Zea mays: one gene and its partners. The protein of the gene in region 1 binds, or shares a complex with, the protein of each later gene. Links are inferred from orthologs where the notes say so. Each region holds a gene or a part of one and is shown in the gene's direction. Other genes may lie near its edges. The genes, in order: Photosynthetic NDH subunit of lumenal location 4, chloroplastic; oxygen evolving enhancer protein 3 containing protein; Photosynthetic NDH subunit of subcomplex B 5, chloroplastic-like.

The links.
Region 2: Photosynthetic NDH subunit of lumenal location 4, chloroplastic (region 1) and oxygen evolving enhancer protein 3 containing protein share a complex: the UniProt entries of both Arabidopsis thaliana proteins name them as parts of the chloroplast NDH complex. The link is inferred for Zea mays from reciprocal best matches to the Arabidopsis thaliana genes PnsL4 and PnsL3.
Region 3: Photosynthetic NDH subunit of lumenal location 4, chloroplastic (region 1) and Photosynthetic NDH subunit of subcomplex B 5, chloroplastic-like share a complex: the UniProt entries of both Arabidopsis thaliana proteins name them as parts of the chloroplast NDH complex. The link is inferred for Zea mays from reciprocal best matches to the Arabidopsis thaliana genes PnsL4 and PnsB5.

Annotation. Positions count from the first base shown.
Region 1 is NC_050100.1:216,378,318-216,388,316, forward strand, and holds Photosynthetic NDH subunit of lumenal location 4, chloroplastic, read left to right. Parts: upstream 1-4,243; 5' UTR 4,244-4,262; coding exon 4,263-4,652; intron 4,653-4,848; coding exon 4,849-4,941; intron 4,942-5,043; coding exon 5,044-5,104; intron 5,105-5,211; coding exon 5,212-5,280; intron 5,281-5,402; coding exon 5,403-5,470; 3' UTR 5,471-5,515; intron 5,516-5,593; exon of another isoform or gene 5,594-5,635; 3' UTR 5,636-5,910; downstream 5,911-9,999. Other genes in the region: uncharacterized protein LOC103627751, read left to right, coding at 388-565. UniProt on the Arabidopsis thaliana protein: NDH shuttles electrons from NAD(P)H:plastoquinone, via FMN and iron-sulfur (Fe-S) centers, to quinones in the photosynthetic chain and possibly in a chloroplast respiratory chain.
Region 2 is NC_050102.1:1,241,883-1,251,441, forward strand, and holds oxygen evolving enhancer protein 3 containing protein, read left to right. Parts: upstream 1-5,151; 5' UTR 5,152-5,248; coding exon 5,249-5,555; intron 5,556-5,642; coding exon 5,643-6,031; 3' UTR 6,032-6,139; downstream 6,140-9,559. Other genes in the region: uncharacterized protein LOC100280976 precursor, read left to right, coding at 1,782-1,962, 2,106-2,542; vegetative cell wall protein gp1, read right to left, coding at 4,317-4,919; kinesin-related protein11, read right to left, coding at 6,486-6,647, 6,730-6,834, 6,941-7,045, 8,323-8,404, 8,901-9,100, 9,190-9,351, 9,476-9,559. UniProt on the Arabidopsis thaliana protein: NDH shuttles electrons from NAD(P)H:plastoquinone, via FMN and iron-sulfur (Fe-S) centers, to quinones in the photosynthetic chain and possibly in a chloroplast respiratory chain.
Region 3 is NC_050098.1:158,246,972-158,257,285, reverse strand, and holds Photosynthetic NDH subunit of subcomplex B 5, chloroplastic-like, read left to right. Parts: upstream 1-5,197; 5' UTR 5,198-5,240; coding exon 5,241-5,510; intron 5,511-5,727; coding exon 5,728-5,782; intron 5,783-5,942; coding exon 5,943-6,011; intron 6,012-6,101; coding exon 6,102-6,160; intron 6,161-6,376; coding exon 6,377-6,613; 3' UTR 6,614-6,767; downstream 6,768-10,314. Other genes in the region: putative transmembrane protein kinase family protein, read right to left, coding at 7,231-7,494, 7,606-7,726, 7,858-8,041, 8,145-8,216, 8,299-8,425, 8,614-8,795, 8,905-9,055. UniProt on the Arabidopsis thaliana protein: NDH shuttles electrons from NAD(P)H:plastoquinone, via FMN and iron-sulfur (Fe-S) centers, to quinones in the photosynthetic chain and possibly in a chloroplast respiratory chain.

The DNA of each region.
Region 1 (9,999 bases):
ATCTAATTCCCTCTAGTATTTTTTTTTTGGTGGAAGGAATATTTGATGCGAATCTTCCTTTCGGTGCCTGTATTTATTTCCAATTATTCTATTGGTTCGGTTCACGAGTAGTTTGATGCTGCATCGTGTGCACACACATTTTTACATTATGAGGCACATAAACATACTAGGTGACCAATCAAACGAGCTGTCGCTTGATTATGATATGTAAGCCTCGTCACCTGGAACCGTATACTATCTCACAAGTTCTTTTTAATCAGCTGTCACGGTCCCTCATCCACCTCTTGGTTGAAAGAGTTTGTTTTTCTCTCCCTGAATTCGGATGATGTAATGTAACATGACATGACATGATAGCTGGATTCTGTTTGTCTGCGCCGTGCCGTGCAGGGGCGAGGTGGCATTCTGCAGCCAGGAGTGCCGGGAGAAGCAGATCGAGTACGACGACCTCGACGAGCGCATGGAGCAGACCTGCTCCGTGACCTCCATGAAGGAGGCCCCGTCCGTGTCCGGCGCCAGCGGCTCCGACCAGTCCGGCAGCGGCGGGGAGACCGTGGCCGCCGCCTAGGAGCCCCCCGGGGGAGTGGCGCAAGGGGGCGGGCGGGGTGTGTGTTGTTGCGCCCTGGTGGAGCGGGAGCAGCGACGCCGGCCGATCGGTCGGCCCGGCCCGGTAGATTCCGCCATGCTATAGAGCGCCTGTGCATACAGCTTTTAGCTCTGGAGTCTGGATTCCGGCAGTGATGCATGCGTCAGTGATTTATTATTATAGTTTGTTGATGCATGTGACTCTGGAAACATAGCCCCTCTTGTCTGTCGAAACAAACAAACAAAGAGAGAGAGAGAGAAAAAAGGCAGGTACCCGGGTTGCAACAAGCCAACAACAACAGACTCTCGTCCGCCATGGCATCTGTCTGTCCTGGTTTCCCACATGTTGTGCTGTCAAGCGGACACGGCTGTGTGCGCCTGTGCCTGTGCTGCAGAATTTGACAATATGCTCCCTTCCCACCCAGTCCCAGCTAGGAGAGCAAGCTCGTCAGTCTAGTCTGGCCTGGCAGTGTGGTGTGGTGACAAGTGCGTGGTGTTGTCGTGCGCGGCACTGCACATTCTAGACGGTGTGATCCTGGCTGCATGGCCTAGACCCTAGAGCCAGGGGAGAGCGAGACGCCCGTGATCTGATCAATCTCTCGATGCAATCAATCGGTCGGTCGGTCGCCCCACCTGGCAGGAGCAGAGCAACCACCGCTGTGCTGCACCTGCACGGCCGCCGCAACAGCGGCAGGCCTGCTGACACGCGCGAGTACACACGACACGACGGTGGCCGCCACAGCCTAACTCACACGAGCTTTTGACCGGCCATGACCGAGCACCAACAGTCCTTACACTACACATGTGCGCGCCTACTCTAGTGCCTACATGAGTGACCCATCCATGGACCTGGTGCTTTCCACGGCGTAAAAAGCACGGCACTGTTTACTTTGGGGCTTTGATGAACAGCGGTTGGCTTGACAATTGGCTTGTCACGTCCGGGATCCTTATCGTCCTCCTGGAAACTGAGAATTCGACACATGGGAAACGCGATCTGGAGGGCTACTGACTACTGAGCTAGAGCAAGGGGCGGAGCGGACCAAATAAATGCATGTTTACAACAAACGGATGGAAACGGAGGAATAGAAAGAAAAAAAAAGAACTTTGTTGTGGTGTACGAAACACTATGAACTATTTCATTAACTATAAGCTTCGGATTAAAGACGGTTGTTTGGACTGCTGCAGGTGTAATCCATAAAGATCAGATGTAATCCATAAAGATAAAAAAAACCATAAAACAGTAGAAAACACTATAAAAACAGTACAAGTTTTTTTTTGACACAATGGGAAAGGGACAAACAAAAAAAGGTTTTCATGTCTCAATTTCTTATTTCTCAATCTTATCTATGTATTTCTCTCTCCGTATGAAGCTGTTTTACCAATCTTTTATCGAAAACACTTTGTTTTACCTAAAAAATGTGTTGGCGCCGATCTGGACACCGATCACTAAGAGTCTACTGTCTGACGGTGCCCTAGAGGTGGCACAGACAGTCCGCGGCTTTGTGATGGACGGTCCGCGACCTGGGCGCAGGAGCGACACCTTCCCTGCATCGCACCGGACTGTCTTCGATGGCGGGGGTTCGTCTTTCTCCTCCTTGGAATCTAGATCTCGCCCCTAGGAGAGATATCTTAGGATACTCCAGATCGACAGCCACCCGGTACGTCATTAGCCGATGTGGAGTCATCTAGTAATTAAAAGACAGTTGAGGTAGTGTATCTCGAATGGACAACTAGATCTTGCTTCCCCTAATGGGTAAGATCATAGGGTCGTCTTGTGGTCGGCAGACAAACAAGATGAATCTAGACGACGTAGATTCGAATATGTGTGAAGTTGGATATGCGGAAAGTTACAACTAAGATTTAGCTATAACTGAGGTTCCGGCTGACAACAACTTCTTCTGTTTCTCAGAGTCAAATGCCCAGCAACGTACTTCATCGCCTACTGCCGTTGATGAGGAAACCGTCCCATTGTTTAATTTAATCCTCTTCGCTAGATCCTTTCCTTGTCAGACAGGGCCTGGCTACCCGCAGCCGCAGCGCAATGGGAGTACATAGACAAATGCGCAATGGGAGTACTAATACGACATTCACAACGAGTTTATAATGTGTTTTTGTTTGAGATTAAAGTAGTACGAGGATTTGTCTAATCACACTGGCACAAAAAATTTGCTTCAGTGTTTCTAGTTCCGGCGTGACTCATCCAAAAAAAATACGGGTAGGCTACTAGTTGGTTTGCCAGCCGGGACAGGGACTCCATGCCAGGTTTTACAACATGTACAAACAGTCGAAATGACATTAAATTTTTATAAGGTCTAATCGTGAATTTTTTTCCGAGGAAGAGCCAAAATGCAAAAAAAATCGGCCAAACAGGCGACTAGGCAGCCGACTACTATACATGCAGTTGAAAAAAAACATGGGAGAGAAGGTACTCCGAAATTTTCACTTCTACGGTGCCGAGATTAAAAGATGATTGCACCTGACAGCTGAAAGCTGCACCCCCAAAAAAATTGGTGTAGATTTTTCCCATCAGCTGTTATCTTAACCAGGTCCTATATTGTACTTTTGGTTGGCATTAGGCAAAGTGGTTCACTTTTTGTATTGCGTTGTGTCGTTATATCATCAAAACGTGAGGAAAAAAAAAAGATGCTGGTGGCCGCAGCTAGCGACGTAAATTATAGGATGGTGACGAGTGTGTGTATCCACTGTCAAATCCTAAATATCTTTCTTGAGCCTTATAATTTATCTAAAAAAAGTTTTTTAATACCCAAACTTGTTTGTTCTTCTAAATAGTTACTAGACTTTTGGCAATCCATATTATCTTCCTCTTTGGAACAATAATAGATGCACTAAGATCGTGTCTAGCAGTTACTCACATGGTTATCCAAAACACTGTTATGCACAGTAGATTGCACTATCTGTGGAGTGAAATTTGAATACGGAGATGAAGATGGATAAGCTATTAGAGATATTCTAATAAATTTTGTCTTTATACCATAGTATACTTTGCAAGTAAATAATAAGAATCAAATTTAATAGAAGGTGTACCTTTATTCTTGTTCTTGCAGTACTGCTATAAGTACATAACTTGCTTGCATTAGTACATAACTTGCTTGCATTTTGACCGGAACCCATCATTATCCTTCACAAAAGTAGTTTTGCGACTTATAAAGGTCACCTCGATATTCTTATGGTGTAAACTAATCCCGTTTTATTGAGAGAAAACCTTTGACCATCAAGCATTTTAGGCCTAGTTTAGATACTCTTGGAAGAGGGGGTTGAAGTGCATTGAAATGTATCCAATCAAAACAGACAACACTTGCCATGTCATCGATCACGACCTGCCACGTCAAACGGGGTCGCATATCAGCGTATTTGTCCGCGGCAGGGAGATTTACACGGTCATACGGGTTGGTTTTAGAAACAAAATTACTCTGATGTTAATTTTTAGAAATTGATTTAGAAAATGATTAAAATAAGAAAACTACGTGGGCTGTAGACTGTCCCGAAACTTGCGGCTCGGCCCGGTAAAACCACGGGCCTGCTGCTGCAGTGGCCGGCTGAAACATCCAGAGCCCATGCTGCCTCCGCGCGACGAATTTCGGGGCGTCATTATAAAGACCCGAGCCTGCGCGCCTTGCAGCCACAGTCTGGGGATAATAATCCACACTCCACAAGCAGCCATGGCGCCACCCATCACGTCCCTGTCGTCTCTGATGGCGTCCAGCCCAATCCCGACGCCGCCGCCGCCGCTCCCGAAGACCAGCGGCAGAGCGCTCTCCGTCGCGCCCTGCGGCTCCGCGTCGTCCTCGTCGCCGTCCACTTCCTCGACTCCTCATCCGGTGGCGGCGTCGGCGTCGGCGGGCAGGAGGGGGCTGCTGGCGCTGGGCGCCGGGTTCCTGGCCTCGGCCGCGCTGCTGTCCCCGGCGGGCGACGCCGGCGCCACGCGCATCGAGTACTACGCGACGGTCGGGGACAAGATGTGCGACCTGAGCCTCGTCAAGTCCGGCCTCGCGTACTGCGACGTCGAGGTCGGCACCGGCGTCCAGCCCCCGCGCGGCGAGCTCATCAATGTCAGTACCGAGACCACCGTCTCTTCTTTCCTGCATGCCTTGCGCCTTCCTCTGACTTAACCTACTCTGTAATAGTACAGTGGTCCATTTCCCTTCTGCACGAGTAACTCAGCAACATATGCCGCCATCCTGTTCTGCGTTCTGTGTGCTGCTTGCTTCGGATCCTAATTATATTCGTCCTCTCGATGGTCATCAGGTGCACTACACCGCGAGATTTCCCGACGGTACGCTGTTCGACAGCAGCTACAAGCGCGGGAGGCCACTGACGATGCGCATAGGCGCAGGCAAGGTGTGCATGTATAAGCATCCATTGTCGCTCACTGAAAACGACGTTCAGTTTTCATGCCAGTAAAAAATGATGGTCTGTTTCTTTCGCGTTCTCCGCGTGCAGATCCTCCGAGGGCTTGAACAGGGGATCAGTGGCGGCGGCGGTGTGCCGCCCATGCTTGTTGGTACGGACAGGAACTTGAGCAGTTTTTAGCTGTGCATTAAATATAGAGGCTTTGCTAATTTGGCTTGCTGTTCCATGACTGATGACTCCGTTGCAAACCTGCCTCAGGTGGAAAGCGCAAGCTGATGATACCTGCGTCACTGGCGTACGGGCCTGAACCGGCAGGCTGCTTCTCAGGTCGATTTTCAGAACTGCGCTAAATGACTTCGTACACCATAGATAAGCAAACTGCTCTCGCTCTAGAATTGTCAAGGAGACTGCTTCTCTAGTTTTTTCTTTTGTTTTTCTTTTTTTGACAGGAGACTGCAACATCCCCGGAAACTCCACACTTCTATATGACCTTTTCCTCGTCGGGATCTACAAGTGAGCCCTCGATGACAGGGAATGTTCAGAACCTAAGAGCAGAGACAAGGTCTGTCTGATATGTGTGCCGTGCACAGCGTTATTCTGAACTCGCCTGGTTTTCTGTGACTCACGTCCTTCTTTCCAGAGTAACCGATCGTTTTCGTGTGTCACACATGGAGGGTTTCAGGAGGAATTCTTGGCGGTGAAAGCACCTGCAGAGGCAGAGCCACTTGCAGAAGCTTCTGTACTCCAGAGAGCTACCTGGATTGAATAAAATGATGATATATATAAACCATCCTTGTTACGTAATAACGCCATTGTGGAACTTTGTAAAGACCAATCATATTGTTGACTATATAGCAGTTTGATACAGCCAAAGCGAGCAAGTTATCGGAGGTGTATGTCACATGCGCCACCAGCTTTGCTTGCACAGCCGATACGGAATCGTGAATTTGTTTGTGTCAGTCAGACTGTCAGCGTGACTGGCGAATGGCGTCAAACCCTTCAGCATTCGATCAATCATGCCGACTAAACACTCACGATTCGGATGTGCAGAGAGGTCTCGCGCTCGTGCCTGACACATGTGTGCCCGTAGTAGCTTGGAGCAAAAATTCTCATCGACCGGTTCAGACGGTGCCCGCCTCTGCTGTCTGCCTGAATTGGGGAGGCTGCTGAAGCAACAAAGGCGAAGCTAAACCACTGGCACCATTTCCATGGGTTGTGAAGACGTAGATTTGCAGAAGCGAAAGCGTAAGATAGGACCAAGCCGCATTAGCCGTTGGAGCGCCACATCGGGATCGGGAAACTATTTTGCTTGTGAGAGAGTATCACTGTCACATCACTGGGATGGTTGGGCTTGGGTTATAGGTACTAAAAAAAGTTCCAGTGCAATTTGACCTCACCTCTTTGGCTCTATGTCATTGGTGGTTCCTGGGAGCGCCGAGAGCTGTTTCCTCGGGCCTGTTTGATAGAGCTCTGGCTTGCCTAAAAATAATGGGTTTTTTTCTAAAAAATAAAAACAGCATTTTTAGTAGAGCCGAAGCCATTTCATAAACCGTTTGACAGAAACGGTTTATCTTAGAGCCAGAATCATTTTCCTGTATTAAATTGATAGAGTTAGAGCTAAATTTGTTAAAGCTACTATTTGTGGTTTTTATGTGTAGTACAAAAATAGTTATGACTTTTATGTACTTTTCGTAGCCGTTTTAAAAAATAGTGTTTGAGAGAGCTCTGCTTTTTTATATAGAAAAACCAGAGCCTGCCAAACGGTCTCTAAGAAACGCTTTGTCGACAATGGAAGGGCAGAGATGTTGAGCAACAGAAGGTGGTGCGCCTATTGCTAGCTGCAGAGCAGCAAGGAACAGGTTAACAGAGGCTGTTGTTGCTCGTGAGATGCCAGTTGCAGCCAAGCGCGGTTTCAACAAACTACCCATTGTTTTACTCGCTAAACATCTCCGCATAAGTTTAGAACATACACTGTATTTGTTTAGGTTTTTATCCAAATAAAGTCAAACTTTGTTAATGTCTAAAAAAATATACTCCGCCTTTGAATTAGTTTTAGTCAAACTTTGATGTACATCATTTGCTTCCTTGAATTAGTATCACTAATTCACCTTGAACATTTTTTTCCATACCACAGAAGTTTATATATGTTTTCTGTAATATTTTATCCGGACGACCGGACCAACAAAACTATATTTAAAGAAACAGCAGGAAACCGAAACTCTCGTGACTCCTATAGGTTGTAAGTTGAAGCTGAAAATTTGAGCCATTAGAGCATCTCTAATGGGGTGTTTGGTTTGAGAAATGAGCTAGTCTATCATCTTCTCACTTCTCACTATTTTTGTTTGGTTTGTGGAATAGAATGAGTTGATCCATCACCACCCCATTTCTTATAGTTAGTTAGTACTAATATGAGGAATAGAGTCATTCCACCAAATTTGAGGAATGAACTCATGATGCACCACCTCAATTTGAATGGTTTAATTCCTCAAATCAAACACTCTATAAGAAAACCCATAAGAACAACTCCAAGAGATTAGCTAAAAAGGCTAGTCAAATTTATTGATTTAGCTACTCTATAAAATCGATTCTACAGAAAAAGTGTAGGTAATCCAACAACCTCAGTAAATTTACAGATTAAATGGAGAGTGAAGCACACTATCCAAAAATAGAGAGCGAAGATAGAGGGATGAAGAGACACTAAATTTGAAGAGTCATTTACAGAGTTTAATGGATACAATTTTATTCTAATATTAGCTAAATTTATCTTTACAAAACTATATACATAGTCTGTTAAAGTTGCTCTAAGCCAACCCAAAAACCCACAAGCCAACCCAAAAATGCTTTTAGAGAAAATAACGTCTTTTCAACCCTCCAACAGCTCCTTCTTTAAGCAATTGATCAGTTAGCCTCCCATTTTAAGCATAACCGATTGAGTGAACATCCAGCAGTGCAGACAATTGCAAAATAAAACAAGTTATTAGCATTGAGGTCGTCCATGCCGCCCTGGCTAGCCTTGTCCATGCATGCAGCTCCTGGCAGAGAGCAGAACCGACGACAGCAAGCGCAAAGACCGATGGGTAGACAACGTCTATCAACAAAAAGTTTAAGTAACTGTTTATTAGCATTTTAATGTGAGTTTAGTTTTTTAGGGATAATATTTTTTCAACAGCTCCCAATATGATGTTTGGGCAGCAACCCACGCCATTCCACCATTGCACAACATATGCACCACGAACCAAACCATCTTCCGTCGCCTCTCTCGGTCCTGGTCGCTATTTAGGCTATCTTTAGTGGATAGTATAAAATAGAGAACGCATAACTATAGATAACACTGTTTATAAAGTAAAGTTTGAGTTACGAGATACTATAGGTGATATCTCCATTAAATTTTATATTTTATCCTTTATTTTAAATTTTACTCTGTTCAAATCTCCTATTTTAAACTACGCACATTTTATAAAACTGACCAGAAGTCAGGAGAACGACCCACTGAGCCCGCAAACAACCGGTCCTTTTTCGCCCCTTGGTCCTACGTTTTGTCGCCGCTCACTAGCGATCTCCGTGACCACAGATCTCGTCGGGATCGTTTCTACCGTTCGGGTCGTCCGCTCCTTGACGAGTTGCCTAGGCGCTACTCTACCAGGGTTCAACGTCCTTGGTTCCCCAGGTTTGCGATCTTCGTGCTTTACCCTACTTCTGCTTAGTGCTAATTGTTTGATGTATCAATTGGATTCGGTTGCTGCTATCTACATGTTGTTGCTGCTTGTAGTGGCTATCCTAATGATCCCTATTTTAAAAAATTGATTTTATCTCTCGTTCGCTCAATGTTAGAGCAAGTACAATAATGGACTCTAAGCCCGCTTACATGATACTTTTGCTTACGTGGAAGAAAGAGATATCAAAAAGTAGAGAAAGTTGACTCTAATGCAAGAGCTAGGTGATCCATGGGCTTCAAGACAAAAAGATGAAAGAGACAAAAAATTCATCTAAGAGCCAACCTTAGAGTCAGCATTATTATATGAGTGTGTTTATTGTTGACTATGTATGACATGATAAAGAGTTAAGGCCAACAATAGGCTCTATTATTAAACTTGCTCTTAGAATGAACAAGATTTCGTGATTACAAAGTCTCTTGCAACCTCGCTGCATTCAATTCGGTTGGGGATTTGAGCCCTTAGCTGGCTATGTAAGAATTCAACTAATTTTGTGGTATGTGTAAGAATTCAACTAATTTTGTGGTATGTATTGGAACAGATGGCCACTTCCACATCCCACCATGCGCTTTCATCCACCAAATTGTTGTCCACAGGCTGCTTCCATCCTGATAGGAGAAATAGCTGTGTGTTTTCTGTTTCAGTAGGGCGTCGCTGCCCCATTGCTCGTAATTTGGGTCTAGTCTGTGCTTCAAACTCTCAATCTTCAGTGATTGAACGGTTCAGTTACCGGGGAGCCCTAAAAGTGTCCTAACTCCAAAGAAATCAGGCATGTTCTTAAGTTCAGTCCCATTGATCAGTGCACTGGTCACAAAACTGTTCTAGAAAACACTAATCCACCGACGTTATAAGGTTTTTATTCATGCACCTGTAGGTGAAAGTGCGCTCATTCTGATACGACATAGAGAATCGTTGCGAAATAAGAAGAACCTGTTTACTGGATGTGTCGATGTCCCCCTAACCCTAAAGGCTAGTTTGGTGGACCGGGAAATGGAGGGGGATCATGGGGGAGAGATCCTCTTACTATTCAATTTTGAATAACAAGGGGATCCCTCCCCATATATCCCCTCCATTTCCATGTCCATCAAACCAGCCCTAAGGGTGTTGATGAGGCAATTGAGGCGGGGAAAAGGATATGCAATATCCTAGTTGATGTAATATACACTTCGTCGTTGATTCGGGCTTAGATGACCGCTATGCTCGCCATGATTCAGCATTGCCGAAAGAAGGTTTCAAAATCTTTCCCTTTTGTATTTCTGGTATTGATATTGAGTGTGTTTGTGTTTGCAACTAATAAACTCAAGAGGTTACGACATCTGCAACTGACCATTTT
Region 2 (9,559 bases), on another chromosome or scaffold:
CAACCACCAAAATTAATTAGGGACTAGGTGTAATCCTAATTCCCTTTCACTTTGCCGAGTGCGACACTCGGCAAAACCTTTGCCGAGTATTTTTACTCGTTTTCGGTAGTGTCTCTTCAAAATACATGGCGTTCTGGTTTTATTAGGAACATTGTCTCTCCAGCAGCGTGTAAAAAACTATCCAAGAATCATTTGCCTCACAAACTCGAGCTAAGGCAGCTGCAAATATGAAATTTGTGGTAACGAATACGGACTCGTAAACTATAACAACGGTGCAGTCGTACTTCAGAAAGATGACGAAGTTTGTACATGAACTAGCCTCAATATGGAAGATGTGGTGTCAAGGTTGTTCAACTCAGGGACAGAAGCTATGGTGTCAAACCTGCAGCAAGTCGAAATATGAACCCATTGATTGTTGGCGTCGATATGATCAAGATTTTCAGAAACGAGGTAAATTTGCACATGGAGCGGATACAAACCGGTAAACATATGCAAGGGCAACTAATCATCTCACACGAGAGTAGACAAGCTCACAGTCTGTATGTGATAAATATCAAGGTCAATATCAAATTCATGCTACAAATAGGAAAGGTATGAATATTAGTCACGTTGGAAGAGTTAAGCATGCAAAGATCAAGCAATACTGATGTTATGGTTAGGATGTGGTCAACAACTCAGCCGTGGTCAGCAGCTCCAATTTCCCTACTAGCTAGGATCGGTTGTACGCATCCCTCTGGGGATCGGCTGGACAGCCACCTCGAGTAGCTTGTCCAGAACGCTAGCTCGTTTGCAAACCAAAGAGAGCTAGGGTTAGAGAGAGGAAATGGGAGATTCAGAGCCACCAAATCCATAAATTTGAGAGTGATTTGGGGATCTAGAGTCTCCCCTCACTTGTAAGCTCCCACCTCTTATATACTTCATCTTTATAGTGGAGTTTTGCTCACCGCTACCTTAGGTTTTCTCTCCGCAAGAAGTTTCCCACGTAAATCTCTGTGTCTCTACTTGATTGGATATTCTACTTGTCATATGTACTAATTGTTCATCATATTGCTTGCTATTGGAGCTATCCTCAAGTTTCTTGGTGTATGATCATACTGCTGAACAACGTGTTCAGGGAATTGCTATTGACAGCTTAGCGTGCTGCTATTGGGGTCACTTCCGCTGCACGCCGGCCCTCACAGGAAGATATGAAACATTTTCCAAGAGTTGGAGTAGACAGTAGAAGGAAGACACCGATCGATGCTGGGGTGGGGTGGGGTGGGGGGACAGTGGGTGTGGCAGCCATGAACGCGGCGAGTATTGTTTGCCGAACTTGGCGCGTTCCAACGCCAGACTAACATGGAGACCTACCTACCTATCTGTCTGTAAACAACCATTTATTGCCTCGCCGACCGACGACGGATGGATTAGAATATGCAAGCAAGCAACGTACATGGCGGAAGGAAAGCCCAACAGCTAGCTGCAACAAGGTCAAAAGAAAGAATTGCCGCGTCTGTCTCTCTGTCTGTCCGGCCACCGGCGCCACCAACCCCGGCCGCGTTAACCGTGCATGCATGATCAGGCGTAGCCTCTCTGAGGCTCCGACGACACCTTCCTTTGCAATTTGCCCCGGTTCGCTCCATCTATATAAGCCAGGCCACCCAGTATGCTGGAGCCACACAAAACAAACAAGCTTCGGTTCTCCGTAGCGACTGCGCTGCAATCAGGTCGTCGTAGTACGTAGGTGTTAGCCACATACGCATCAGGAAGCTAACGAGAAGATCAGATCGGAGGTAACGGCAATGGCAATGGCCAAGGCCAGCATCCTCGCCACCTTCGCGGCCGTGGCAGCTCTGGCGGCGGTGCAGCTCGCCGCGGCGGCGGACCACCCCGTGGGAGGCGACGGCTCCTGGGACGCCAGCGGCACCACCGGCTACGACGCCTGGTCCGCCAAGCAGACGTTCAAGCAGGGCGACACCTTGTGTAAGTTGGCTCTCTCTTCTGTCTTCTTCTCCAGCGCAACAAACATGCTGTCAGTCACAACTCACAACAAACAAGCAGTAGAGAGAACTGACGACGCCGCTGCCGCTTCTCTTGTGATGCACGCTGGATCTCTGCCGCCGCAGCGTTCAAGTTCGCGCCGTCGCACGACGTGACGGAGGTGAGCAAGGCCGGCTACGACGCCTGCTCCGGCAGCAACCCCGTGAAGTCCTACACCGGCGGCAGCGCCTCCGTGAAGCTGTCGGCCCCAGGGAAGCGCTACTTCATCTGCAGCGTGCCCGGCCACTGCGCCGCGGGTATGAAGCTGGAGGTCACCGTCGCCGCCGCCGCGGTCACCGCCGCGCCGGCCCCCGCCAAGACGACCAAGCCCCGGCACCAGAGGAGCGTCTCCCCGACCCCGGCCCCTGCCGCGGCTCCGGCTGCGCCGTCCACCGACGAGATGCCCACCGTGTCCTCGCCCACCGCGGCGCCGGCGCCCAAGTCCTCTGACGCCTCCACGCTTGGAGCCAAGGCTGTCGTGGGGCTCGCCGTCGCCACGATGCTCACCTTCTTGGCCATGTGAGGGCGAGTCGTGCTGCGTGACGCGCATGATTTTTGCAGATAAATGTATTATATACATACATATATACTCCAGCGATTCATTATTGCATTGCATTGCATTGTCGTCAGTGCGGCGCACCCACCGACGGTTGTTGCTGACAAGAGTTCATTTAATTGCCGGCCTTTTTTTTATTCGATTGTTAATTATACTGCTACGATGTACTTACTACTTGAATTATTAGTGTATTTGTTGTCACTGTTGATCATCCAATAAATTTATCATTATTATTCTTCCAACACAGTTGGTATTTGGTGATCACGACCTGTATTTAAGGTCTGAATGATATATGTATGCTCACAAATGTCTTGACTTCTTAAAAAATAAATGATGAGTACTACTACTACAGTACTACTGGTACCGAACAATCTTTTTTTTAGCATTGTCTGACAGTAGTGGGTGCGATAACATGCTCTCAATTAATCATGGTTGTTATAATGCATCAAATATATCTTAGTTATAATGCTATTAGAACAGTTATATCAATTAGCACGGAACGGAAGTCCTTTGATTTGAAAAGGGGATGTAGTGGACTCGGGTGGTCTTTTGATTTGGTGCACGTCGTCCACATGGGAAATGGTGCGCCGTCAATGGAGGGAAGGCCAGCAGCCAGCACGGAACGGAGAGGACAAGAGTTGGCTAGCTGGTAGTGGCGGCGTGGTGGTCAAGGCAGTTGCCGGCGTCCGTCCCCGTCCCGTACCGCTCGCCGCGGTCACCACCACCAACCCCGGCAGGCAGACATGGCAGTGACCAAAGGCCATGCACCCTCGCCGTCGTGGCTGCCATGACTTCTGTGCATCGACTCAGCTGTAGTGTAGCTCTGTGCATGTTGCACTCCACATATTTCACCAAAACCCATGCCACTGCATTCTTAACCTTTTATTGAAAAACATTGTGCATGTCGAAACTGTTAGAATATAATGTAATTGAATTGACAACATCTTCCTACCATGCTTAAGTTTTTTGGTTGAGATGATCGGTGCAAGGTCCACCGACCGATCGGTGAATCGACTGCTGACGGCTGTTCCTGTAGGAGAATATTTCTAGGCATAGCTCCCCTTCTGTTGTTGGCTCTTCTCTTGTCTCTTTTAAGCTATGGTCAAAAGATCACGTATATGGTCGTGCAACATAGTGAAGTTTAAAATAGTGAAGTTTAAAATGAGAAACCTGTAGATAGCCTTAATGCAATTGTATTCACGTTTAGAGAGAAGCACCGCTGTCTTGTGCTCGGCTCGATAGATGCAGAGTGGAGGGTAGATCTGTGGAGCCGCTGCAGGAGCTGGGGAATCTCTCTCCAACGGCCCAAGGTGGTCAACAGCAAGTCCATGGTCAATTCATGTTAATCCAGCCGACATGCAGAGGTGAAAGGGCAGTGATTCCTAGTACTGCTACACACTGAATTTCGCCGCGAAACGCTAGAGAATTCTTAGGAAAGAATGCAGATTCTGCACAGTACAACAAACTGTAAAGAGAACAGCAGAGATTAGGTTTTTTTGTTTTATTTTTTAATTTTTGACAAGAGAAACGCGCGCGCGCGCAGGCTGATTCTGTGGGATCCTGACGGCGGCGACACTGAAGAATTCAACAAAATTGCACCTGAATTAGAGATGGATTAATTATAGGATAAACTGAAGAAACAGTACATCAGCAGACGGCGGCGGCTAAACTCCTCTACCAAATCCACAGCTATTGCCCTGCTCTGAGACTGAAGCAGTCGGCATCTACGACTACGATTGAGTCAAGACGCCGTTGGGCTGGGCGCCTCTGGGGCGGGCGGCGGCGCATCAGGCGACGGCAACGCAGGTGGTGGAGGTGACGGCAGCAGCTGGTCCGGCGGCGGTGGCGACGCGATCTCCGCCAGCGGCGGCGGTGGTGACGGGAATGCCGGCGGGGGCAGCTGCTGCTCGGGAGGTGGGAGCACGGGCACCGGCGGCGGCGGTGACTGGAATGCCGGCGCGGGCAGCTGCTGCTCGGGAGGTTGGAGCACGGGCACCGGCGGCGGCGGCGGCGACAGAGGGGTGTCGGGCACAGCCGTCGGCCGTGAGGGCGGCGGCGGCCAGGCGGCGGCGTCCGGGGAGGGAAAGGCGGGATCTTGCGCGGGCGTGGGCGTGGGCGGCGGGCGGGCGGCCGTGGCGGGCGAGCGGTATGCGGGGTCCGTGTCGGGCAGGACGGGCTGGCACGCGTCGGCGGCGGCGCACGCGGACGATGCGGAGGCGGGGCTGGACTTGGCGGCGCGGTGGAGGACGGCGCGGAAGGCGAGGACGACGCCGACGACGGCGAGGGCGGCCAGGAGGGCGAGGAAGATCTTGGTGGCCTTGCCCACGTAGCAGCCGCCCCGCATGGCTGGCGGCTCTGGCTGCTCGTCCTGTGTGCCTGTGTCTCGTGGCCTTCCTTGGTTTGGTGGTGGTTGATGGCTGGTGGGGCGGTGGTGGCTGAGGGAGTGAGTGAGTACTCAGTAGTGGAGGAGTGATCCAGATTTGAATCGTACCAAAAATTACAGGCCAGGCCAAATTCATCTTCAACTGCAAACCTCATCAGGAACGGAAGGATGTCGGAACGGCCAGCAGCCGCTTTCTTCCTTTTACTTTTTTCTGATATTTCTATCGGCTACGATCTCATGCGTTAGCGAGTGCCGCCCCGCCCGCGCTATCCACTCGTCTCTCCGTCCCCATGGCCACTTATCTCAACGCACCGCCGGCAGCCACCACGACGACTGCAAGCTGCCGCCATGCCTTCTCCGGTGGCAGCCTCCGTCTACTCCGGCCGAGCCGACCGACGCTGCACGTGACGTGCCAAGCCGCCGCCTCCTCCCAGCAGCCGTCGTCCCCGTCCAGGAGGTCAGCCTGCCTCCTCGGCATCGCGTGCGCCGTCCTGCTCCGCCCACGTGCCGCCTCCGCCGCCGAAACCGACGACGAGCCGGCCAACAACGGCTGGTGGCTGACCGAGTTCCCCTTGCCCGTGCCCAAGATCGTCAACAGTAAGCCGTCCCGTCCGTCCTGCTCCATCCACCACTTAACTTTACTTGGTTCACTGACAATTGTGTCGGCGATGAGTGGCATGGCAGAGGAGATCAACAACGCGGAGACGGGCACGCGCTCCTTCCTCAAGAACGGCATCTACATGGCGGACATCGGGCCCAGCTTCGCGGCGCACGCGTACCGGCTGCGCAGCACGGCCTTCGACCTGCTGGCGCTGGAGGACCTGCTGGGCAAGGACGCCTCCAACTACGTCAACAAGTACCTCCGCCTCAAGTCCACCTTCATGTACTACGACTTCGACAAGCTCATCTCCGCCGCCGAAGACAAGCCGCCCTTCGTCGACCTCGCCAACCGCCTCTTCGACAGCTTCGAGACGCTCCAGGAGGCCGTCACAGCCAAGGACGACGCCAGGATCGGCGACCGCTACGCCGAGACAAAGCTCATCCTCCAGGAGCTCATGGCCAAGATGGCCTAGCAGAACCACAATTTTTCATTCATATATCATGATGTGTAAATGAATACTTGAAACTCACAAGGGGTATTGCAGAATTCCCAGAGCAGGGAAATACAATTATCATGTCAGGCTGTGTGCGTGTCCGACAACGGGTACACAGTTGTTTACATACACGCCCAGCTCAGCTCAGAGGCATTGGGCATTGGGCAAACGACAAATCAAGACTACGAATGAAAGCAAAAAAATTGAAAATGGCAACACATCCCAACATACAAATCAGATCAGGTCCTAAGATTAATATAATAGGCCAGCACACCCACCGCTGCCAGCCGTTAGCGCAATCAACAAGGCCACAAACCAAATAAAATTGGCAACTCACACCACCTCCAGACAAGGGGATGCAAATGATCGGTTGCATCACCAAATCAACACACACACAAGCATTACACTGGCAGCTCGCTTCCGCCGTATTTCATCATTGTGAGCTCCGCATCTGGGTTTGGCGCCTGGGGATCCCGATCTCACAGGAGTTCACCCTTGCAGCAAACCGCAATGAGCAAAGAGACTCCCCTGTCGAGGACGCTTCAGGAGACAGATTCACAAACATCAGTGTCTTCGAGTCCCCTCCGAGACACGGCTGTGTTGCCAAAAGCATCAGTTAGTACTTGATACCATTTAAGATTAAACTTTTAGCCGAAACCAATGTGTCGGAACAATACCTGGAGCAGATATGTCAGCTTTGAGTTCCGAAATGGAACGTGTTCCTCTTTCTTTGCAATCGAGAAGATGACATCACTTAAACATGACAAGCTTTTGTTGATAGCCTAAAGCCGGAACAAAACCATCCTTATTATTCCTCCTTATATACAAAATATATATACATATAAGTGAAAAACACAAACGATGCTCAAGTACTAGATAGCAAATTACCACTGTCTCTTTCAACCGATCACCCGTGGCACCACTTTTGTTCAGGCGCTCACTGCCTGCTAGATCTATAAGATTCAGCACTCCTTGCACTTGTTGATCCGTTCCCTGAAAAGAAAATGGGTCAGCTATAGACGAGAAGACAGCATGCCAAACAACGTCACATGTGAACTAGAATAGCTGCTTTGTGGCATGGGATTCAGTCACAAGACCTTTGAAGTATGGTGGGCTTGGGATCCCTAATTTACAACACATGTGTTGGGCCCTTCAAGCCAAATGGCTTTGGCTTCAAAAAACAGATCGGGATAGGCCTTGGCTTGGCTTGTCCATCCCCATTCAGCAACATGTTAAAGACCTTTTTGCTGCATCCCTGATTTCTCATGTGGGAAATGGCTCTAATACCTTGTTCTGGACAGATAAGTGGCTTAATGGATGCTCCATCAGAGATCTTGCTTCAGAAGTGGTGTCCAAGGTGGCTAAGCGAGCTCTTACCTCTATGACAGTGGTTCAGGCTCTTGAAAACAGGCAGTGGATTGCACATATCAACCCCCCCCTTTCCTTGATTGGAATTCAGCAATTTCTTTTCTTATGGGATACTTTAGGAGATGTGCAGCTTTCTCAGGAGGAAGACCGCCATGTTTGGAGACATGAGACATCAGGGGTGTTCTCCTCTAAATCCTGCTACAAGGTCTTTTTATTAGGTTCTACTGTTTTTGAGCCTTGGAAGAGATTATGGAAGACCTGGGCTCCTCCCAAATGCAAGTTCTTTCTTTGGTTGGCAATAAGAAACAAATGTTGGACAGCTGACAGATTACAGTTGAGGGGACTGCCACACCCAGATGTTTGCCCAATGTGTGATCAAGTCCAAGAGACAATTCAGCACCTCCTTACTACGTGCATTTTTGCCCGGCAATTTTGGCATACAATTCTTGCTGCTATTGGCTTGGGGCATCTCACTCCGACTGCTGATGAGGGAAATTTTTCAGAATGGTGGGGAAAGGTGTGCCTTAGAGTTACCAAGACAAGGAAAAAGGGACTTAACTCTCTGATAATCCTGGGGGCTTGGTGCCTATGGCTTCAGAGAAACAGAGCAGTGTTTCATGGGGAGTCTCCTTCATTGCCCAGGATTCTTAGATGTTTCTCAGATGAGTGTGTTTGCTGGGTTTTAGCAGGAGCTAAGGAGGTCGGTAGTATGGGCTTAGTTGCTGCCCTGGGCGAGGTCGGGTCTAGTTTCAGTACTTCTATGTAATTTCTTTCGGAATTTTGTGGGTCTTTGGGAGATTTGCTTTGCAACATCTCCTCTTTTGTAATGTTTCTCTTCCTCTTTATTATATAAGATGCGCAGTTCTCCTGCGCGTTCTCAAAAAAAAAAACTAGAATATTACCTCATTTACACCGAAAATCCGAAGAGTGAAAACACAGTGACTTCTTGATGATTCCTCATTCATTTGTGTTCTACCAACTGATCTGAAGACAAAATGAATAAACGACTGTTTTAGGTCCAATGTGCCACTCAATTCTAAGCTCTGGAACTCGAAAAAGAAGTTTGAGAACACAATGGCAGAGATATGACAGAAACCTGAAGGTTATGCCATACAGATTTAAGAAAATTAGCTTCTATGTTGAAAAAAAAACAAAGTAGTGTGGAGTACATAGTGAAGTTGAATAGTGAAGCAACTTAAACTTGAGCTGATTATCTTCAGCATCCAGATTTACTTTTTGCTTAAGAAAATATCAATCTGCACCATGTTCTATTATAACTTATTGAGAGTTGATCATAACCCTATAATGGGAGTAGGAATATAATGTAGTGACTTTACATAGCTACATCATATACTACATCAGCTGCCAAAAAATTATGGCACCCAAAGAAACACTCATCATCAGTTCAAAATTTTCCTATTACATACTCTTAAGACAAAATACTTAATACTGAAACTTTGAAAATAAATAAGAGTGTAACCTGCTCTGAGCAGCCCGCCTAAGGAGAGAAGAAACTTCGTTGATACTAGTTACGTCAATGATCGTAAGGTCCGACACATTCGTGTTACCATTAGTATCATGCTTGATACTGTACTTTGAAGCACCAACATCCTGAACAGCCATGCGATTCGTTGCTAGCAAGTCGCGTATAGTCTCGTTGTAAATCTCCAACATTGAGGCCTGAAAGTTTAAATTACACCATGATAACAGTTACAGAAAACTTGTCCACTGGTTAGTTCAATTAAATAAGTAAATTACCAAAAACACACCTGCATCTTATATCTCCAACCCTGTGAGTTAAGTGTCTGGCTAGCTTGAAAAATTTGCTCCAGAGATCGTGGTATCATTCCTTTTTGATCTTCTAACTCAGGGTTGCCCATCATTGTATATGTTTTACCAGAACCAGTTTGCCCATAGGCAAATATGCAGACCTAAATGGTTTACTGGTTTTTAGTTGCATTCTAAGAAAACTAGATATTGGAAAACGAACCAAAAAAATCATAGTTACTAGAGTTAGAGAAGGTAATCTCAGTTATAGTCATACAAATGATATACCTTATAGCCATCTAGGGCACTTTGGACAAGTTGAGATATTTCTATGAACACATGTTCTTGTGACGCCGAATGATCAAATACTTT
Region 3 (10,314 bases), on another chromosome or scaffold:
CAAGGTCCAGACGTCCAGTACAAGTTACTGCCAAAACCAAAAGGTTAGTTTCCTTAATTCACCAATGTCTCCATGTCCTTATGGGAACCCAATGCAAGTTATAGGAGCCCAACTTAAGGCATTTGGTGTACGGCTGCATCAAAGATGCACCAGCTGGTTAGATGTTGGCATCCATGCTGAGACAGTTGCTAAACGCATGGCTATATGATGGAATGTAAGAGTAACGCACCGGAGTGTCTTGTTGCAGTCATTTGAGTAGAGCGGCTCGACCACATCTAACCAAGCATCTGGCGCACTGGCAGTCGGCCGGCCAAAGCAATCCTGCCGTGGCAATTGAGTATATACATTCCGTTTTGTTTTTCTCTTGGAAGTATTTGTACCGCAACATTCGCGTTTGGACCATCATAGTCATAGGGAGAAAAAATGAGAGAGAGAGAGAGAGAACATTAAAGAGTTTCATGCCGTAGCAGTTCGTGTTCGGCCCAGTACTTCATTTGATCCGGCCCACAGTCGATTTTCAGCCCAACAGCAGGCCAAATCTTGCTTTGGATCTACCGCCGGCCGAATTTTTTGTATTTTAGCCCTTAAACAGAAGTAAAATCACGTTTAGACCTAAAAAAATTTTAAATGCAGTTTTAGACCCTTAGCTCGGCGCCATAGCCTGTGGCGCCGAGCTAACACAGCTCGGCGCCACAGGCTGTGGCGCCGAGCTGTGACGTGGCCATTGCCTCGGGCGGTGACGTGGCTGATGGCGTGGCACCTAGCTCGGCGCCACAGATCTTGGCGCCGAGCTAGGAAATAACCGCGTGTGCGGTTCCTTCTCCGCGCGCTCCTTCTCTGTTTGTCGCTGCTACCTCGCCGTTTTTTCGTCGCCGCCGCTGCGCCGCGCGCGCAGCTCGCCGCCGCCGCTGCCCCCTGCGCGCCGCGCCGCCGCCGTTTTCTGCTCCCTGCGCGCCACGCCGCCGCCGCCGTTGTGAGCTCCCTGCACGCCGCCGAGTTCCAAGCGCGCCGCCGAGCTCCCTGCGTGCCTCCGTCGTCCCTACGCGCCGTCCGATCTCCCTGCTCGCCGCCGTCGAAGCTCCTCCGCGCCGTCCGAGCTCCTTCGGCAGTAGGTTTTTTTTATTTTTGTTAGTTTCTTAGTTGCTAAAATGTTAGCATATTGTTAGCTAATTGTTAGTGTTTAATTATTGTTTAGTTAGTGCTTAACATATTTTCTTGTTTAGTTATTGTTAGTTATTGTAGTGCTTAGCATATTGTTAGTGTTTAATTATTGTTAGTGCTTAGCATATTGTTTAGTTATTGTTAGTGCTTAGCATATTTTTTTGTTATTGTTAGTGCTTAACATATTGTTAGTTAGCTATTGATATTACATATTTTCGTTGGCAACCATCGTGTTAACCATCGTGTTAACCATTTCGTTAGTATTTCTGTTGGCAACCATCGTGTTGTCGTTTATTCGCAGGTTCTATAAACATCACTTTACAGGGGAGGTGCTGCCAAATTTTTTACTGACAATAGGTTTTTTTGTACGTAGGTGTTCGTCCGACTTGACCTTCTCCACCGTTAGCTTGACTCGTACGCGTTCTCAGGTATACAATGTCTTCGTACATTATTTATAGATTATGTAATTTCGTTTGATGTGTTCATTTAATATTTACTCTATAGTTATTAGTTAATATATATTTATTACTTAGTACGTTAGTAGGCTTAAGTATGTAGCCATTATTGAGTTAGTAATCCATTTTTGCAATAGATGGACAGCCTAGTAACACTATACCGTCGGACAACTGTTCCATATGTAATATGGGACAACAAACCCTGAATTGATATTCTAGGGTCGTTTATGTCGCAACTAATCTCCTCACAAGCTCGAGCCAAAAGCTGGTCAAAAGATGGTCTTTCAACGAACAACATGGTCACGATCTTCATACCATCAAAAGTAACACTCCCATAAGCATCTATCTTTCTGTTGCTACCTCCTCCGCATATCAATTCAGGGTTTGTTGTCCCATATTACATATGGAAGATCGTGACCATGTCTTTCTGTTGCTACCTCCTTCTCCGCATCCGTCATTGGTGGAGGATTCGGGGGAGGAGGTACCCAACGCTTAAAACGCTCATGACTGGTCTTTCCACTCAACCAATTAACGAAAAGAAGATATCGAGGGTCAAATTTATCAGGACCATCGATCCACTGGAAAAAGAAACACCTCTGATGTCCCTAAAATAATGGAAAGATGCACTATTACATATCTACAAAATAATGAATGCGAACAAAATTAAGTGACAAGTCATAAGCTACGTACGTCCAAAGTGCCACAAAGGTAGTAGCAGCGAGCAGCCGTGTCTGGATGTTGTGATTGATGTACCCAAGACAGTCTGCCACAGTCACAGTTAGGCACGGGGAGTTCAGGAGGAACAGGAGCATCCTTGCTAGATACGTCCGGATATAACTCCCGAGGACGACCTCTCTTCTGCCACAACGCCTCTCGGTACATGTCTTTCATCTAATAAACGATTATAATTATCACCTGTACCTGTTATGCTTTATAATAAGTTTACACAAACTAATAATCGAAATGATAATATAATAGGTGTATACAAATTATTAAACTAACAACCCAATATCCAAAACGAATGAGTTGGAAATCATACCTTGGTCTACGAAGTGAACCAACTCAAATCTTTGAATCCAGCAAATTTTGACGAAGTTTGGAAATGGGATGAAATGAGCTGCTCTCGGCCAGCCGCGCGGGCGTTTTTATAGGAATTTGTAGCTCGGCGCCAAGATCTGTGGCGCCGAGCTACGAGGCCGGGCCGCAACTAGCCGTTGCTGCCACGTCATAGCTCGGCGCCATAGGCTGTGGCGCCGAGCTACGGCACCACGTCAGAGCTAGCCGTTGATGCCACGTCACAGCTCGGCGCCATAGGCTGTGGCGCCGAGCTGTGTTAGCTCGGCGCCATGGCCTATGGCGCCGAGCTAAGGGTCCAAAACTGAGTTTAAAATTTTTTTAGGTCTAAACGTGATTTTACTTCTGTTTAAGGGCTAAAATACAAAAAAATTCGGTACCACCGGCCGGTGAAGAGACGAACGAACACTGCGGATCTGTAACCGGAGATATCGCGTTTCCACTTCGTTCCCAGTTCATAGCAATCGATCAATTGCTCAGCCGCATTCCTCAATCCGCGGCCAACAATCTTCCGTGCTCAAGGCCCCAGCTGCGTTTCTTCATCCGCGTCTTAAGGGGAAAACTATACTTTATCCATGCACTTAACATGGATCCAGCAGGTAGAGCGGGTTCAGTTGCATACTCATTTAACCTATATCTGTATTCCTGTGAGTAAAAATATATCTGAAATATAACCAACAATTATCTTGAGTTTTAGCCTAGCCTATTGATTTGTCAGAGTCCAAGCGTCGAAGGTTCGAAGCACGAAGCGTCCAATTCTGGACGCACGCCACCAGCATGCTCACTGCTCACACCTATACTCGGTTCAACCTGAGTAGAAGTCCCAACACAATTGTGCGGTTGAACAATTACTCTCTAAATATATATATATTAAAGACCTAATATTACCTCTATTCTCGAATATTTTTCATTCGCTAGCTCATTTTTGAACTAACAGGCGACAAATAAAATACAGAGATAGTATTATTAATATTTGTTATATTTGTGCATTTTTCCTTATTGAGTATGGGTACTCATCGGATAAAAAATACCCACACGAGTACGTGTATGAGTGTGAAATTGTATCCGTGCACAAGTAGGGGTATTAGAGTGGCGAGTTTTTAGTTTGACGGAACCGAGTCTGGGGTAGCAAAACCCGGCAGGTCTTTATCTGTTACCATTTCTAATCGAGAGGCTTGGTAGTGTTAGGCTGTCTCCAACAAGGGGCGCTAAAGCGTTCGGTATGCTATATTTAGCGTTTCTCGGTGTCCGCTATCGCTCCAGCAAGAACCGGCAAATGGTCCGCTAAAATATAGCGGCAGCTCGACGACCGGTAAATGTGGAGTGTTGTTGTTCATCCGCTATCCATCCGCACAGAGTTGTTGTCTGGTTCTTCTCGTCTTCGCCAACAGCATGCCACAGCACGACAGCTCTGCTACTCCACCCGTTGAGTACCACGACAGCTCTGCTACGTTCGGTATGAGAGATTATGCACGAAATCATCTCTGTATTTTCAGTGCAGCAACGTGATTTCATTTTATTTGTGTCTTGTTGCTTTATTTTCACCTTCCAGACTGAAGTTGAGTCACATTGACTCTCCGCCAACTGGTAAGGACAGAGGCAGGGCTTCGAGGCGTTCACGAGTAGAGTACTGGTGATGTCAGAGCTTTACTCATCGTTCGATTACAGTAAAAAAAAATGCATGGGCAGTTTATTGATGCAGTGATGCTAGCCTTTTTTTCTCTTACTATGAAGATGGGGGACTATGTTGTCTTGATACCAAAAGAACTGGGAGCAATTGCATTTTTTTTGTATAATACTAATTTAAGAAACTGGTTTGTTGATTACTAGGCTTAAGGATCTGATCTGTAACAATGTCATGTGCGGGTCTTCTTGTGACATCGCAATCTCGAGGGCACCCCAAGGCCGCCAAATGTTCTAGTGTCCATTGATGCTTGGTAAGAATTCAGTTAGAGCTTTACATGCAAATTAGTACTGTATATTTATTTGTAAACATAGCACCATTGTACTACTAATTAACTGTGTATATCTAAACCCTAAACCCTAGGTTGATGAAGACGTTCTAGCAACCAACCATAGGTCGCTATAAAAAAATCGTTGTGTAGTGTATGAGAGAATTTAGAAAGAACCACTCCATATACATGGAAAAATTTAAAGGACAGGGTTACAGATAATCCTACAAAGAGTGAGTTCTCACTTGTTTTGTTGGTGTCCGTTGACCAAAGCACATGCGACAGTTTCTTACAAATATAGCGCACAGAATCACGATTTTTTTTGGCGGGGGGAGGGGTTACTGTGGGACGTCCGTAGGTGTTCAGTTCCACAGAATCGTACCGAGTTTTTATGAGCTGATTATTTCCAGAAACGAAAAAAGGGACAGGAAAAGACAGCGGAAAAATCCTGGACGGTAGGTGTCCAACTCCAGCGCACCATTATCCGCTTGCTTTTTTGTCTCTTGGCCGCAACGTGAAGTGCAGCAGCAGCCAGCAGCGGGGGCTGGAGCACTCACCAGTCACCACTCAGCAGCGATCGCAGCACCGCGGCGAGATAATGAGCAGCCTGTCCTCCGGCATCTCTGCCTCGCCATCTGCAGCGCCCAGCACCGCTCGGCGCCGCCATGACGCAGCGCCGCAGCAGCTGAGGGTGAAGGCGGCGGCGCGGCCACAGCTGCTGCACGCCGGCCGCCGGCGTTCGAGTGTCGGGAGGAGGCCGGGCGGCGGCGCGGTGGTGGTGAGGGCCGGGCCTGGGCCGCTGTCGGAGATCGAGCCGGACCTGGAGGAGGACGCCATCGACGTGTACCGCACCAACGGCATCAGCCCGGTCCGTCGTCGTCGTCCCTCGTTTCCTTCCTTTTCTTCTCTTCTCTTCTCGGTTGTCGTTCCGCGCTTAGTTAGTTAGACTAGGAACACGCAGGAAAGCAGTGAACCTTGACGTAGGTTGTGCTATGAACGAGAGCTCTGAAGAACGGAGTACGTTTCGTTCGTTCGTTCGTGGATGACACTGGAGAGGATCTGTCTTGTCTTGTCTTGTCTTGCAGGAGGACTTCGAGTACGGGAAGTATGACGGACACCACACCTATTTCGAAGGCCAAGGTATTACTATCCTCCCAGAAAAAAATAAGAACTCCATTGTTCATGATATGATATCCTTCATTGCAAAAAGAAAAAGAAATAATAGTCCACTGATTGTTTTGTGCTGTGGTGAAACAAAAACCTGCAAACAACCGCAACACCCCCCGCTTTTCTTCCCAAGACAAGAAGGGCTTCTGGGAGGATGTCTCCGAGTGGTACCAAGAAGCTGAGCCTCCTCAGGGCTTTCAAGGTACTACCACTACTGTGTAGCTCTTTCAGATCTTTATGCTTCTGCCTTGCTCATTTGTTGCACTGCATCAATGGCGGCGATCTCTTGCAGCACTCATCTCCTGGGCATTTCCTCCTGCGATCATCCTCGGCATGGCTTTCAATGTGCCGGTAAGGATCCAGCACTTCCTCCTCCCAGTACCTAGTCCCCTGTTTGGAACACGAAGTTTCCTGGTCGGAAGTGAATTGTGCTTTCTGTCGGGAAAGTGAATTGTTTCCTGTGAAATTCCTGCGCTCCAAGCATTTGTGCCCCAAAAAAAAAAAAAAAAAAAACTCGTCACCTGCATCTACTGATCGGATCGGAGACGCGTCTGCTTGTGTCGCCAGGGGGAGTACCTGTACATCGGGGCGGCCGTCTTCATCGTGGTGTTCTGCGTCATCGAGATGGGCAAGCCCGACAAGCCGCACAACTTCGAGCCGGAGATCTACATGATGGAGAGGTCGGCCCGCGACAAGCTCATCGCCGACTACAACTCCATGGACATCTGGGACTTCAACGAGAAGTACGGCGAGCTCTGGGACTTCACCGTCAACACCAGGGACGACATCGTCAAGTCGACCTAGATGCATTGCGTACACCGCTCGCTGCCCTTCAGATTGTTGCCTCACAGCAAAAAAAACCCTGTGAAAGGAAGCTGTAGCTGCTAGGAAAATCTCTTGAATAAAAAGGAAAGCCATCCTTCCTGTAAGACTGGAGAGCCTGAAAATCTGTTCTATCCTCGTGCCATATAATACACGACATGTTCTGCAGACTGTTGCTTCAACTTTCTGCATGAATTGCCTTTGTTTTCATGTTTTCTCCAATACTTTGAAGGGAAGAGAAAAAAAAACACATGCAAGACTGATGCGCTGAACAATCAAGAGCCGCTGGTTTGCCACCACCCACCCATTCTTATTATTATTCAACAAAAGGAAAATGTCATTAATTCCCCTAAAAACATGTGCAGAAAAGGGAGAATTAGGAAGGAACCATCAGGGTAACAAAACTGGGGAGAAAAAAAGGGTAAGCCTCGCAGCTGTTTCCTCTCTTTTTTTTTTACACTTGGGATGCAGCTGGCTCGCTATGAAGACGGGCTCTTCTTTTTTTTCCCGAATTCCGAAAGAGAACAAGGCTGGTCTACTGCCCTGAGGAGGAGAGAACTAGCTTTTCTTCTAGACTACACATCCCACTGATGTTTGTTTCACCTGGATGTTCTGAAGAGCTGACTGCCTAGAGTCACGGTTGGGGTACCTTCCGCCATGACTGCTGTGAGGCTGATCTCCTGCTCGCGGATCCGTTGTATCTCAGCCTCCACCGAGCTCATCGACGGGCGCTGCTCGCTCGTCGGATTTACGCACCGTGCTGTCAGGCTCAGCAATTCCTTCATGCTTTGTGAGGTAAAGCCACCGGCCATTCTGCTGTCTGCGATCACGGAGATGTCACTTGATTCCTGGAAGCTCTGTGCCTGCACATCAACAGAACAGACGAGTAAAAAGATCTGTCCAGAGACGGGTATGTTATTTTGCAGAGAAGGGTGGACAAACATCAAGCATCAAGCAGTGATGCCATTATTTACCCACTGAATGATGCATTGATCAGAGACAGCTTTCCGTCCGCTAATTAGCTCCAGAAGGAATACGCCAAAGCTGTACACATCGCTTTGTATGGAAAAGTTCAAGTTCATAGCTTCCTTCATTCTGATCATGCAACAGAAGTTCCATCGATCTTAAATAATGCAAAGCAGATTCAAGGCAGATGATTCTACTGTATCTATCTGATGTAAGCAATGAATGTAAGAACTATCAGAAACATGTGTGTCCATTGTTACCGAGGTTCCACGAAAGGATCATTAAATGTTCTGGAAGACAGTCCTGTAACACCAAGTCGATCAAGCATGCCTGGAATCCCAGTATCTGCAACTTTTGGTGCGAAGTCCTCGTCCACAAGTACATTAGAAGTTTTGAAATTCATATGGACCGCAGGGGGTGTCAGCGAATGCAGGTGACTCAGGCCTGGATAGCAAGAAAATATCGCCATTTAAGATTGTTGATGTAGTTGCCACAAGGACACTGCTACAGAAGAATGCGTCTAAGCCGATATGCTGTGAAGGCTTACCTTTAGCTGTGCCATGAGCAATAGAAAGTCTCTTCTTGAATTCTAGCCTTGAACCTAGAGCATGGCTGTTACCTACAAAAGTATAGCAGAAAAATTAGAACCTATGACACTACTCTTGTACATTAGAGTTAGATAAAAACGCAATGGAAATCACCATGTAAATGTGTTGATACGCTGCCATTGGAGATATACTCATAAACAAGCATCTGCATGCCATCCTCCTGACAGTACCCCAAAAGTTTTACAAGGTTCCAATGACAGAGAGATGCTAGATAATTAACCTGACAAGAAAACAGCACTGACACATGAGCTCAAAACAATGTCAGAAGGGTGTGGAGCAAGCTGGGCTATGTTTCAAATTATAACAGGACGTCATGTGGAAAAAAAACTAAAGTTAAAACACAGCACATTCGACGAATTCGGGACCAGAAATTACTGAACATGTGGATAAGTAAGAAGATTATGCTACCTCTTGAATGAATTCCTGGCTAGGAGGAGAATGCCGTCTTTTAACAGCTACTATTGTGCCATCCTGGAGCAAACCCTTATATACCTCTCCGAACGTCCCTTGTCCAATAAGGTTGCCATTGCTGAAATTCCTTGTAGCAAAATTCAATTCCTCTAAACTAAGACATCTTGCTTCCTGCGACTCTGATAGGTGGAAGACGAAGTTATTACTTATGAAAATAGAAAGAAAGATGTATCTTTAGATGAATTATCTGAAGTTTTAAAGTTTTATTGAAAGTAACTTAAGCAGTACCTGGTAGAGCTTGATCTGAAAAACCACTTTCTGAAGAGTCTGAGGTTCTTTTGCGATGCTGTAGGCAAAGTACTATTATAATTATGACAATAAGTAGTAGTGCACATCCTCCTGCAGCAGCTCCAAGAGCTTCTGCAAGAAGTCCTGACATCTAGTATTGGATATCCTCCTTCAGAGTAGCGCAGTAATCTTTGTAGCTGTGGTGATGAAATCTGCAGATATCTGAAACCTAAAGAGTAGTTCATTAAATTTGTTCGAGTTTATATTTGAATTCATAAGGAAGAACGCGAATGTACAGATTGCTGGTTATGCCAGCCAATGAACTAGAAAACAATTCAGATAGTGGATAAATATAACAAACATGTATACATGGGTTGGTTGATCAATAGATAAAGTTAAATTACTAGTGCTATATAATATATTGACACTGATACCATGGATTGGTCAAACTAGCCCTATCATAGGCTGGGGAAAAATATACTTCTTTGCATATGCATCATTTTTTTTGTTGCCCTCAAGTGGCAAAATTAGGAAAGCACATCTTGATCATGACATCAGTATTACGGATGGCTCTACTAGTAATGCATAAATATGGAAAAAGGCAATTAAATTACCAAACAGAAAACATTCTGAAAATGGACATTTTGTGATGAAGTGCAACTGCAAAATTCGGAAAACGCATCTTGATCATGATCATGAAAATGGCGTTACGGACAAAGCTACTAGTAACGCATAAATCTGGCAAAAAGAGAGACAATTATGTTACCAAACGATAAAAACGGGGAATTGTCGGATATCGAAAAACTAGAAATTATGAGGCAACGTGCAGTGGCTAAATTGGGAAAGCACATTTTGATCATGGCACCAGCAAGTTCGGGGGAAGCTACTAGTAACGCATACCCTTCTCTTTTCCGGTATAATTCTCCCATAGGACCGTTCAAATTTTCCGCGCCATGTCCGGGTCAGAAGAAATTTTACCACAATACTTTGAATGGCATGTTATTAACTAAATGCAATGCAATAAAACATCTTTCACTATGGCATTCTGCACCCATAAGCACCCTCTTACTGATGAAACCAATATGAGTACGCTGCAGTGTACAGGCAAAAACATGAATGCAGTTTTTGCTTGGACCAGCCTGAAGCTGTGCGTGTACACGTTGGGTTGATTTTATTTACGAACCAGTACCGTTTTTGCAGATCGCAATCTAACAATGTGGCATCGACTGCTACCTGAGTCCTGAACTCAGTAATAGCAATAACAGATTGAATGAAGTACTAATCAAATGAGGGTTGCTGATCGGTTCGTTCATCGCCCCCCCCCCCTGCGATCAATCGAAATTCAGCACTCCTCCTGAACAACACAGGCACCATGGTAAGCCGGAAAACAACACATGATTTCACGCTCCA